Caenorhabditis elegans: one gene and its partner. The protein of the gene in region 1 interacts with the protein of each later gene in a pairwise test. Each region holds a gene or a part of one and is shown in the gene's direction. Other genes may lie near its edges.

Region 1 (6,597 bases):
ATCAAACTACATAGTGACGTAACGACACGCGCTTTATATATAGTAAATTGATTTTTATTAAAAATTTGAATAACTTGCAAGTTTATGTATAATGGTGAAACGTTTTTTTTCTGTAGATATATATTAACAATTTTTAGACTGTAGATCTCTACAATGAAATGATAATTTTTAAACTGGTTCAATCCAGTGAGCATTTACCAATCTACAAAAGCCTCGAAGCATTATGCATTCTAAAATTTACCTTTTAAAGAATTTTTATTTCGATACGAAATTTGAAAATAAATATAATCTATAGTAATTCTTCTCTCTAATTCCCTTGTTCGATGCTCCCACTAATCTTTTCGGGTATGGTGCTGCGACCTCTGTAGTAACCGAAAACTTAAACCGAACAGCCAACACAGAGACTCCTTTTCTAATGATCTTCCATCACTTTTTTAAGAGAAACTATCTCCTCCTAAAGAAATAGTATATGTTCTCGAGAGATTATAGAGAACAAATAGCAGGAAGAACAATTGGAAGTAAAAGAGAGAAGCAGAGACTTCTCAAATAATACAATATTGTTCTTTTCTAACAGTTAGTTTCTTCAACTTTTTTTCTTTTTTTCTAACTTATTTAAAACTTATTCTCCGATAAAGAGAAATAGAGTAGAGAGGGACGAGAGAAAGAAGAAGCTTCTCGCGCAATCAACCACTTCAGATCTCACTTTTTTGGGTTAAGGCTCACAAGTTTTTGTGTGTAGATAATGGTTTGCGCTCATTAGGTGAAAAGAGATTCAAGAGTACGGTTGATTGGTTCAATTGGAAGACTCATATAAAATGAAATAGAAAGTGTTCTAGACTGATCAAAGATTTTGCTTTACTTGCTTAGATGATTTATAGTAAACTTAGTATATAGAAAACCCTAAAGGTTGATAATGTTTTTGTTCAAAGTTAATATTTTAATATGAGTTTAGTTTTTTACCGGCCTGCTATTTTTAGACTTTAAGATTTCAAGTCAAAAATGGTTGAGAATCAGAGCTATCAATAAAAATTTAACTATCTCTAATGTATGCCGGAAAGTCTGAGCCTAATCCTAAGCCTCATTCCTCATCTAACTAGTTATACAAATCCCAGCTAGTATATAATTACCGCTCTAAGACTGTTATCTGTTAGAAAGGCACTGATATAGTTTGAATATTGTAAGCATTTAGGAATTTGCCTTGCTAGGCAACCACTAATGAAATTGGAAAATAAAAATTTGCCCTGCAAGGCCTTCCATCTCTATTGTTCTAGTACTATGAGCAACCTCCTAGACACCTAAACAATCAAAAAGGATCTCCAAAATCCACTTTTTCTCTACGTCTCATAATATTTCCCACAAAATTTACAAACATTTTGAGTGCTGTTCTGCCTAGTTTTTGTTCGAACAAAAAGTTCGCCTTGTTCCTCCAAGTAAAAGTTCAAACATATGTGTTCGTTGGAAGAGTAATCACGTTTTTCTTTACTCATCTCTCGCTCCTGGTACTTTATTAACTAGAACCAGTTTTCGTGCCGAGACCCTCCTCCGCTCATCATTTTTCTATTTTCTCTCTCTTTTCTGTGCATTCCGTACTGTCCTCTGTGAACTTTCTTGTCCACTGTGCTCATTTTTTGGTTTCATTTTTGTGAAATATTTTAAACAATTGGTTTAAAGAATGTTATCATTCAACAACACAACATCTGCATCTAGTTTTCAATCTGCTTCATCAAGATATTTAATGTCATCATCATCATCAATTGGACCACCACAACAACAATCTGCAAAACTATTTCCTGAGCATTTCTATCCAAGTGGACTAAGTCCAAGACAGTCGGAAGCTCTCGAACGATTGCGACCCAATACGGCGTCGCGCGAACGAAATATTCCGATTCAATTTACCGGAAAGAATCCAACAACAAATTCAGCTCTTGAGGAGTATAAACCAGTACCACACGTACAAGTTACATCTCCAAAGTCTTCAATTGTTCCGAATTTTGTTTCCGAGCAACGCGGGCTTCAGCCTCAACCAACATCTCAAGCTCCAACCAATTATCGGCAATTCGTGGCTGCACCACGATCGCCACGTGGATATGGAGACTATCCAGAAATGACGGGAAAAGCTTCTGCTGCTGGGGATTCAGAGCCTGTTCAAATCCCAATAAAAACTCAAACTCCAATTACACAAGCTCGTGCTCAAGAAACTAAAATTCCAACAATTGTGTCACCACACCCTGTTTATTATTATGACAATCAGGAGCAACCAATTCAACAAATTCGAGGTTTTTTTGTTTTTCTTTGCGTCTTAACTAATATCTCAAATTTTATTTGAGATAACTGTGTGCTGTCTTAGTCTTTGTCCCATGTCCAGACACTTATTACTGATAACCAGTTTTTTCGGAAATCAAAAAAAAGCAACAGTTATCAAAAATCAGAGAAATCACTTCAAACTTAACCGCTCCTATATTCAAATTTTCGTTTATTTTCAGAGGAGCAACCAAATGCCACCATGGAGACCAAAGTCACCGGACAAGGTCAGCCAAAGCGTGTCGGACGCTGGACATTGGCTCAACTCCGTCAAACTGACGGAATTATTCCAAGCCAGGCCGGATGGAACAAGGGAGACTCACAAAAGTTGATGACCAACTTCGGAACACCAAGAAACACTAACACTCGTGTCAAGTCTGAGAACCTTCAGGTATGGAAATTTTATGGTCAGATTTACTTGGGTATGTGGAAGAATTTATTTTAATAGAAGCAAAATCTAGGTCACCGTTTATGTTATTTGTCTTTAAGGATACAAAACTTCAAAGGTTCTTACTCACTTTATCTCTTCTGAAATGAAAAAAATCTTTAAATGTCATTTCTTGGTACCTCCACAATTTGTTTCATTCAACGTCAAGTATTTAAAGGAATTCCAAAATTTTCAAATATAAATTTTCCAGGAAATCCCAGAAGATATTGCCAACCGAACCCATGGAGAAGTTCGTCTTCAATCCGGAACCAACAAATATTGCTCCCAGAGAGGAATGACCGGATTCGGATCCGGACGTGATGTGTGCCGTGAGGGAGTCCGTGTCGCTCAGAACCCAGCTGACTTGGCTGTAAGTTACTTTTACATAGTAGCTCTGTAACCTTTCATCACTTCAGTAAAAAAAAGTGACAGAAACAAAATAAATTATTTCTCTAATTTCCCACATTTCTGTTCCAATGTGTGTGGAACGTCTTATAGATTACGGTATTTTTTTCTGTGAACTTAGAGTAACGGATGAACAAATACTTGATTTAAAGATCAGGGATATTCTTTTGTGAACGCAAATAAACAATAATTAACATATATATATTTTTTTACAGGAGCTTCCAGAAGAAAAGATCCGTATGTCCGAGGGAATTGTCCGTCTTCAAGCCGGTACCAACAAATATGATTCTCAAAAGGGAATGACCGGATTCGGAACTGGACGTCGTGAGACAACTAAGATGGTTGACTCAAAGCATCCAGAATACGATCACGAGAAACCAGATCAATCTGAAATTCCACTTCAGTCTGGAACAAACAAATTCGCTTCACAAAAGGGAATGACCGGTTTCGGAACTGCTCGTCGTGAGACCACAAAGATGGTTGATTCTAACCATCCAGATTACTCTCATGAATGTTCCATTGATCAAACCACAATTCCATCTCAGATGGGATCTAATCAATATGCTTCACAGAAGGGTATGACTGGATTCGGACAGCCACGTTGGGAAGTTCTCGACCCATCAATCTCATGGCAAAACCGTAAATCCCAGGGAATGGTCCGTCTTCAATCTGGTACCAACCGTTTTGCTTCTCAAGCTGTAAGTTTTCTTTAGATTATTTATAGAATTTAAATAAATAAAATTCATTTTCAGGGTATGATTGGCTTCGGAACATGCAGAAACACAACATTCGAGGCTGAAGGAGGAGAGCTTCCATATGAGGCAATGAAGGTGTCTGAGACCATCATTCCAAGTCAAGCTGGATGGAACAAGGGAGACTCACAGAAGGTTTGTCGATTGTTAATAACATATAACGGAACCCTTGATTATGACATTCTAGTGTATCCTGAATTTGTCCTGTATTCAGAAACTATTTGTAGATTCTCGCGAATTTCTATCACCAACGTGTTTAATTCTATAATTCCCTAAGTCCGAGGTCTTGACACGATCGGATATTTTAAAATTAAGCCTGTGCCTTTGAGAGTAGAACTTGTGTAACTTTTCCGCTAGGAATATTTTTAATAGTAGGGGTGTCAATAAGTTCCGGGTCAAAATTCATAACTTTTTTCGTGGCGAATCGATTTTTCTGAAAATGTGGGAATTTATGTGATCAAACATGGTCTTTCATTTGACGGTACTTTCAAAAAGTTTTGACCACTCCATGTATCCCAGCTCGGAGACACTTTTTTCAGGCGTATGCCTGATCTCGCTTCTTTGTAACTTTCAATTGAGACTTATGTGCGGATTTTGATTAATTAAGTATACAATGTAAAAATACAATAAAAATTTAAGAAACAATTGGTTCAAAAAAAATTTTTTTTTGGTTCGTCAAAAAATCCTCGAAAAAATTTTTGTCGAAAGTTCTTGATTTTTTGTACAGGAATGATGCAACCAAGTCTGAACAATTTTTAACACACAAAACTTTTGAAACGTGATTTTTATGATTTTTTAGTCCATTTTTTGAAATTTTTGAGAATTTCTCTAAATCTAAATGTTAAATTCAAAAGTTTTGTGTGTTAAATTGTTCAGACTTGGTTGCATCATTCCTGTACAAAAAATCAAGAACTTTCGACAAAAATTTTTTCGAGGATTTTTTGACAAACCAAAAAAAATTTTTTTTTGAACCAATTTTTTCTTAAATTTTTATTGTATTTTTACATTGTATACTTAATTAATCAAAATCCGCACATAAGTCTCAATTGAAAGTTACAAAGAAGCGAGATCAGGCATACGCCTGAAAAAAGTGTCTCCGAGCTGGGATACATGGAGTGGTCAAAACTTTTTGAAAGTACCGTCAAATGAAAGACCATGTTTGATCACATAAATTCCCACATTTTCAGAAAAATCGATTCGCCACGAAAAAAGTTATGAATTTTGACCCGGAACTTATTGACACCCCTAATAGAAACCTAAAATGGTAGAAAAACCGTTACTGTATTATTCAAAGGCGCATACCTTTTTGCAAACATTTTTGCGCGGCCTCGATTTTCAAAATATTTCGATCGTGGCGAGAGCAGGTACCGTATTATCAAATTATGTGCAAGTTGATTTTAAAAAAACATATAAATACATTCTAAAAAGAAGAAAAATGACCAAACTTTTAAGTTTAAAACTACGATTTCCTTTAAAAAAAAACAAATTATTGAAACAAATTCTAATTTTTCATAATTTTTCAGAAGATGACATCATTCGGAGCACCACGTGACGTTAAGGGCAAGCACTTGAAGAGAATCTGGGAGCTTGAATACCCAGAAGAGGCTGAAATCTCTTTGGATCGTCTCTAAATCATTTTTCTCCGTGTTTTTTTTTCTTTCGTAAATTACATGATACCTGTGCATAATTTGCTTCAACTTCTTCTCCAAATGTTTCTTCTTATTCTTCAAAAAAAACTACTTTTTTGTTTGTTCTCCATCCCATTTCCCTGCTTTCCTTCCTATTCTTTTCACACCCAAACAAGTTCATCATATAAATTTGAAATTTTTCGATTGTTTTCTTTTTTGCGTAAGTTGCAGCCAAAAATGAGCAATTTTAGCGAAGAATTATTCTTGTTATTTTAAACCACTTGCATTTAGTTTTCTAAATGAAATTCACAGAGATGCGACAAGCCATAGATTTACTTAAAAATATATGTTTATTCTATGAAAACCCGTACGGAACTTTCAGGCAATATACTAAAAATTTAACAAAAAATTAAAAAATTAGTTCGTGTTCAGGGCGTTCAGTTTTTCCATCATATTGTCATTGAGAGCCTTCCAGAATAGACCTTCTTCGCATTCGATGTCTGTTGTGAAGAATACCTGCAAATATTTTAATGAATACATTATTTGATTTCTCGATTTTTAAGCCAAAGGTTATTTTTTACAAAAAAAGGTTTTTAAAAATGTGTGGAGTTTTGTTCTTTTCATATAATTTATTTTTCATTACCGCGGAAGTAGTCACACCCATTTAAGCAAAAGTGGCCTTATTTTAATTTTCGAAAAAAATTATTTTCAGCGAAAATTTTGTTACGAAAATTATTTTCTGCCTAAAAATTATAATTGCGACATGATCATCAATTATAACTTTTTGTTCATAATTTCCAAGCTAATATTACACAATATTTGAGAAAATACTTGAAATACGGAATTTTTTAGAATAAATTCAATCTCTCAAAAACAAAATGTTGTTTTTTTTTGGTTTTTCTGGTTGCATCGGTTTCAGATAAAAATGAGAATTTCCTCGAGTTTTTTATTTCGAAATGAACGTTTTTTCAAAAATACCTGTGTGAATCTCGATGTTTTTGTTAACCGAAGAGTAGTTGATTTAATGAATTCTCGTTGCGTATTCTCTCCATCGACGAGCATTGTGAAGTTTGGAAAATGTGCA
Region 2 (5,165 bases), on another chromosome or scaffold:
ATGGAAAGTTGAGAGGAAGAGATATGCAGGTATGGGATAATGAGCTATCAAAACTAATAATCAAACTTATAGATGGTAGTAATCACTCACGATGAGCGACTCGTCAACAGGATCACAATCAGTTGTCGTCCAGAGTATATTTATTGTTTGGGGAAGGACGAGCACGGAATAAGTTTCCTTTCGAAACGTTATCCAGATGGAACAGTGAAAAGAGTTAATACGAAGAGACGGTTCTAGAATGGTATTGAAGAATCTCAATAGTACAAATAATATTTTACGGTCTCAAAATTGATTCGCTCACCTTTTAATTATGTTTTATGCTTTGTCAGATCATTCCCGAGTTTCCAAATGTTGTTACCTCATGTTTTATATTTTACGAGATGAACCCGATGCATCGGCCGATGTGAAATGAAAAATATTTTCTAACTGTTTCAATATTCTAATGCGTTTTTTGCTACGCTTTTGTTTCTTTCTTCTTGTTAAAAGCTAACCTTATTCATAAAAAATTTCGATTCAAGATCAGAATGTCTGACGATGAGGATGACTACATGTCTGCTGAAATTCTCCAAGGAGTTAGTGAACAACCAGTTGGAATTGCAAAATCTAGAGCTCACAAGCGAGAACTACAAATAAATTCAAGATTTGAAGAGTCCAGAGACACGTTTAAACCAAAAAGGCCAACTAGTCATGCTGAGCGAGGTTTGTAAATCGTAGTATATTATTTTTGTAGTTTACCAAATAAATTTCAGAAAAAGAACGTCGCGACGAGGCGCTCGCAAAACCGATTAGCCACGAATCGAAAGGATTTGCATTGATGGCAAAAATGGGATTCAAACCTGGTATGACATTGGGAAAGCAAAGAGAAGACGAAATTCGAATTACGGAACCAATTGGTGTCGATATCAAGGCTAATAGGAAGGGACTTGGGCACGAGGTTGAAGCAGTTCAAGAACGCAATGAACGAGTTGAGGCTGTAATGCAAAAAATGAAAGAACAAGCGGCAAAGCATGAAGAGCTGATCGATGACTATTCCAAACGGCGGAAGCTTGATGCCAACTCAAAGCAATTAGTCAAAGACATCAGATCTTGTCGAAAGGTGTGCGAAGAGTTGGATCATCGAATTGGAAAAAAAGTTCCCAGTGTTTCGTGGTTTTGGAGAAGTTATAAAGTTGCTCAAGAGGAAACTACATCTTACCATAAAAAAGTTGAAAAAGAAGATGAAGAATATAAGTACTCAAATGGTTTAGCAGCTCCAGAAGATCCGAATTATGATTTCACAATGTCAACGGAAATTTTAGAAGAAGCGTAAGTTTTTGTTTTGTAGATAAGGTTTCAATGAGCGTTATTTATCCAAACCGACAATAGTATTAAATATGCGTTTATTTCAGACTTTCCACTATCAACAATTATCTTCGAGATGGTCACTTCTATTGTATTTGGTGCGGAGCCAACTTTTCCTCGCCAGAAGATATGATCGAACATTGTCCTGGGAGCACTCGTCGAGCACATCATGGAGAAGATGAATAGATTAATTATTTTCATAAAATCTCAATTCTTGATGTATATACTATGAATCCTTTTTTATAACCAAGTTCGTGTCCTAACATCGTGTCACTTTTTTTTTTTGCTTTTTTGCTTCATTATTGTCTGCTCCTGTGTTGTTTCTCAAGGTGGGAACGTATCAAGTGACAAGTGACCACTAGTCAGTCAGCTTGAAGTGGCGATCAGTTGCCGCGCACCACCAGTAGCCCCCAACAGCGCGAAAAGCTTCTTTAGCGATAGAAAAGAACACAAACAATTGAAAAAGAAGAAAGTCCAGTGCACACACGACACTTGTGCTTCTTCAGCTACAGTCTTCAGTGGGCAGCAACATCAAGTTCCACCATCTTTATCATCTGCTCATCCATTCTCTCGATCTGTTCCGGTAAATTTGATTGCCAATCATTTTGCAAATCATGGCATGGTTAACGTCCATATTTTTCATTCTTCTAGCCGTTCAACCGGTTCTTCCACAGGATCTATATGGCACAGCAACTCAGCAGGTACAGTGAACTGTTCAAAAATTTGTAGCATTTGTTCTTATTTCTCTTTCTCAAAGTTTCTAATGCTTAGGGTCTCACCACGACCAAGATATTGTTCAAATGAAGGGCTCGCCAAGGGATTTGCACCTATAAGGAGTACTGTAGTTCAAGTTCAAGTTTTTTTTTCAATTTTTCCTCGTTCGTTCCGATTTTAATGCTTTATTTCTAACTATTTGTTTCGTATTTACATATAAATCGGTATGAGCTACAAGGAAAATATTTATGTAAAATCGAAAAAATTGTGAAATGAGTCGCACTACAGTACTATTTAAAATCACCGTATTTAAAATATTTCTGTCGTATCGAGACCTAATTTTGACAAAAAATCGCACAAAAAATCATTATGGTTTTAGGCAACATAAAGATTCCAATTGGATTCACAGACGATTTAAAAACTTAATTTTGAAAAAAATCAAAACAATCGTTTTTCTTTAGTGAATTGTATAAATATTTTCCAGCAGCCTTATCCATATGTACAACCTAGTGCTTCGTCTGGTTCTGGAGGCTACGTTCCAAATCCTCAATCAAGCATTCATACTGTTCAGCAGCCATATCCAAATATTGTAAGTTATAAAGGCTTGGGCCAGGGCCGAGGATAGGTCTATATTTGTTTACATTACCAGAATATCAAGAAACAATATTTAGGATGTAGTCGAACCAGATGTGGATAGTGTAGACATTTATGAAACTGAAGAACCTCAATTTAAAGTTGTGAACCCTGTATTTCCACTTGGTGGATCTGGAATCGTTGAACCTGGTACAATCCCACCACCAATGCCTCAAACTCAAGCTCCAGAAAAACCAGACAACAGCTATGCAATTAACTATTGTGATAAACGAGAATTCCCAGATGATGTACTAGCACAATATGGATTAGAAAGGATTGATTATTTTGTATACAACACTTCATGCTCTCATGTTTTCTTCCAGGTAATTTTTTGGAAATTATTTTTCTGAAATACAGAAATAGTTGAACAAATGTATAATTTAAAGTATTGAAACTTATCTTTATTGTATGCACGAAATAAGCTATTTTTATTTGTATGCTATCAATATTTATATTTCTACAGTCAATAGATTTCTGAAATTCCGAACTTCTTTCATATTTTCAGTGTTCAATTGGCCAGACTTTTCCTCTGGCGTGTATGTCCGAAGATCAAGCATTTGATAAGTCTACTGAAAATTGTAATCACAAGAATGCTATTAAATTCTGTCCAGAATACGATCATGTCATGCACTGTAGTAAGTCATTCAATTAAGAGTATGTATAAAATTTCATATGGCGTTGATGCACCATGAGGTGCGCTTGAAAGTTTGTAAATCTGCAATTTTCTGATTTTGATTTTATGGAAACTTAATTATTTCATCGATTTTTTCTCGAAATCTATAAAATATATTTATTTACAAAAAGCTCCAATATAAAATAGTGTTTGATATTGCAGCAATCAAAGACACCTGTACTGAAAATGAGTTTGCTTGTTGTGCAATGCCTCAATCCTGTATCCATGTGAGCAAACGTTGTGATGGTCACCCAGACTGTGCCGATGGGGAAGATGAGAACAATTGTCGTAAGTTACTCATTACAACAATTGCCAATTAAATTGAAAACCTTTAGCATCGTGTGCACGTGATGAGTTTGCATGTGTGAAGAGTGAACATTGTATTCCTGCAAACAAAAGATGTGACGGTGTGGCTGATGATTGTGAAGATGGATCGAATCTTGATGAAATTGGATGCAGTAAAAATACAAGTAATTTTTACTTTTTAAAATGTACTTTATAACAAAGTAATTAAAGCTTGTATTGGAAAGTTCGTCTGTGGAACATCGCGTGGAGGTGTTTCATGTGTGGATTTAGATATGCATTGTGATGGAAAGAAAGATTGTTTAAATGGAGAAGATGAAATGAATTGTAGTAAGTTTTTTTCTGCCTCCCTTCTTCTCACCCGGAAAACACCTCTGGAAAGTTATAAGTGGCGAAATAATGTACAGTACTTCCTCTAATAATATCGCATCCTACTATTTCACTTTAAAAGGTTATACCTCGGTTCAATTTAAAGATATTGAACATATTTTTCAATAAATAATTGACTGCAAACGATAGAAAAAAGTTTTCAAAAAATTGTCAAATGACAATTTTTAAATAGGAGAAAAGACAACTGAGATATTTAATTGTCAAAGTCTAACATTGGGAGTGCAACATTAATAGAAATACATACAATTTGGAATGTCTTTCTTAACTATAACCACACATTTTGGCACAACTTCAATGTGCGAACTTTTTCTTGTTCGAGACAAAAACATAGGAAAAAAAGTATTTTTAGCCAAGTGTCCAAATAAACACTGACGAATACTACACTTGTTATTTCAGAACAAGAAGGACGCCAAAAATATTTGCTCTGCGAGAATCAAAAACAATCAGTGACACGTCTACAATGGTGTAATGGAGAAACAGATTGTGCTGATGGATCTGATGAAAAATATTGTTACTAGATACTGCTGAACTTCTTGTCGATTTCCCTTAATTTATAAATAAATACATGAATGTCATTGCTTCTTGAAATATTCTTTCAAATTATTTGACAAAACGATTAGTTTCGCTTTGAAAATTTGACGGAAAAGAGGTCGAAAAGGGTGGGGACTGGTTATTTTTCAAGGTTTACTGTTTCTCTTTTTCTCTTCTTTTTGTTACTCTTACCCCTTTTCAACTTTGACACCGAAAGTCAACCAGTGTTAGACTCATGAGTATTTCCGTATATTCTGTTACTATTTTCACACTTTTGACATTACTTCCGTTAATATGTATATCACTGGAGTGCATCAACTCAACATCATACATGGACAGAGTTCTCGTCAAACCAATGAGCTCACATTGTCGTTTGAATAATGCACTTTGTGTGAAGACAATGCAAATTAGTCAGAATTCTGGTATGCACATATTTTTTGAAGTTGGAACTTTTAATATTGATCATTTCGTATTGACCGTCTCCGACTCAATATTTTTTGTTCCAACATTGATTAACTACCATTAACTGTCATTAAGTTCTGGTCCAAAAAATTGAATCAGAAGTTGGCAGAAGTTTGAA

What was found.
Region 2: the proteins of unc-87 (region 1) and lrx-1 interact in a two-hybrid assay, tested with the Caenorhabditis elegans proteins (one large-scale study listed by BioGRID).

Annotation. Positions count from the first base shown.
Region 1 is NC_003279.8:6,760,686-6,767,282, reverse strand, and holds unc-87 (Protein unc-87), read left to right. Parts: upstream 1-1,592; 5' UTR 1,593-1,672; coding exon 1,673-2,276; intron 2,277-2,483; coding exon 2,484-2,692; intron 2,693-2,939; coding exon 2,940-3,098; intron 3,099-3,348; coding exon 3,349-3,831; intron 3,832-3,885; coding exon 3,886-4,020; intron 4,021-5,408; coding exon 5,409-5,516; 3' UTR 5,517-5,930; coding exon of another isoform or gene 5,931-6,029; 3' UTR 6,030-6,062; downstream 6,063-6,597. Other genes in the region: F08B6.1 (BPH_3 domain-containing protein), read right to left, coding at 5,931-6,029, 6,492-6,597. UniProt on the Caenorhabditis elegans protein: Thin filament-associated protein that is implicated in actin bundling and actin filament dynamics. Exhibits F-actin cross-linking activity. Required for the maintenance of sarcomeric actin organization in striated muscles.
Region 2 is NC_003283.11:12,250,823-12,255,987, forward strand, and holds lrx-1 (LRP X(cross)-hybridizing), read left to right. Parts: upstream 1-1,862; 5' UTR 1,863-1,955; coding exon 1,956-2,042; intron 2,043-2,539; coding exon 2,540-2,644; intron 2,645-2,726; coding exon 2,727-3,011; intron 3,012-3,193; coding exon 3,194-3,323; intron 3,324-3,523; coding exon 3,524-3,649; intron 3,650-3,696; coding exon 3,697-3,831; intron 3,832-3,877; coding exon 3,878-3,994; intron 3,995-4,450; coding exon 4,451-4,572; 3' UTR 4,573-4,628; downstream 4,629-5,165. Other genes in the region: rad-50 (Zinc-hook domain-containing protein), read left to right, coding at 1-29, 73-237; T04H1.5 (G patch domain-containing protein 11), read left to right, coding at 525-699, 750-1,305, 1,389-1,527; T04H1.12 (Activin_recp domain-containing protein), read left to right, coding at 4,821-5,007.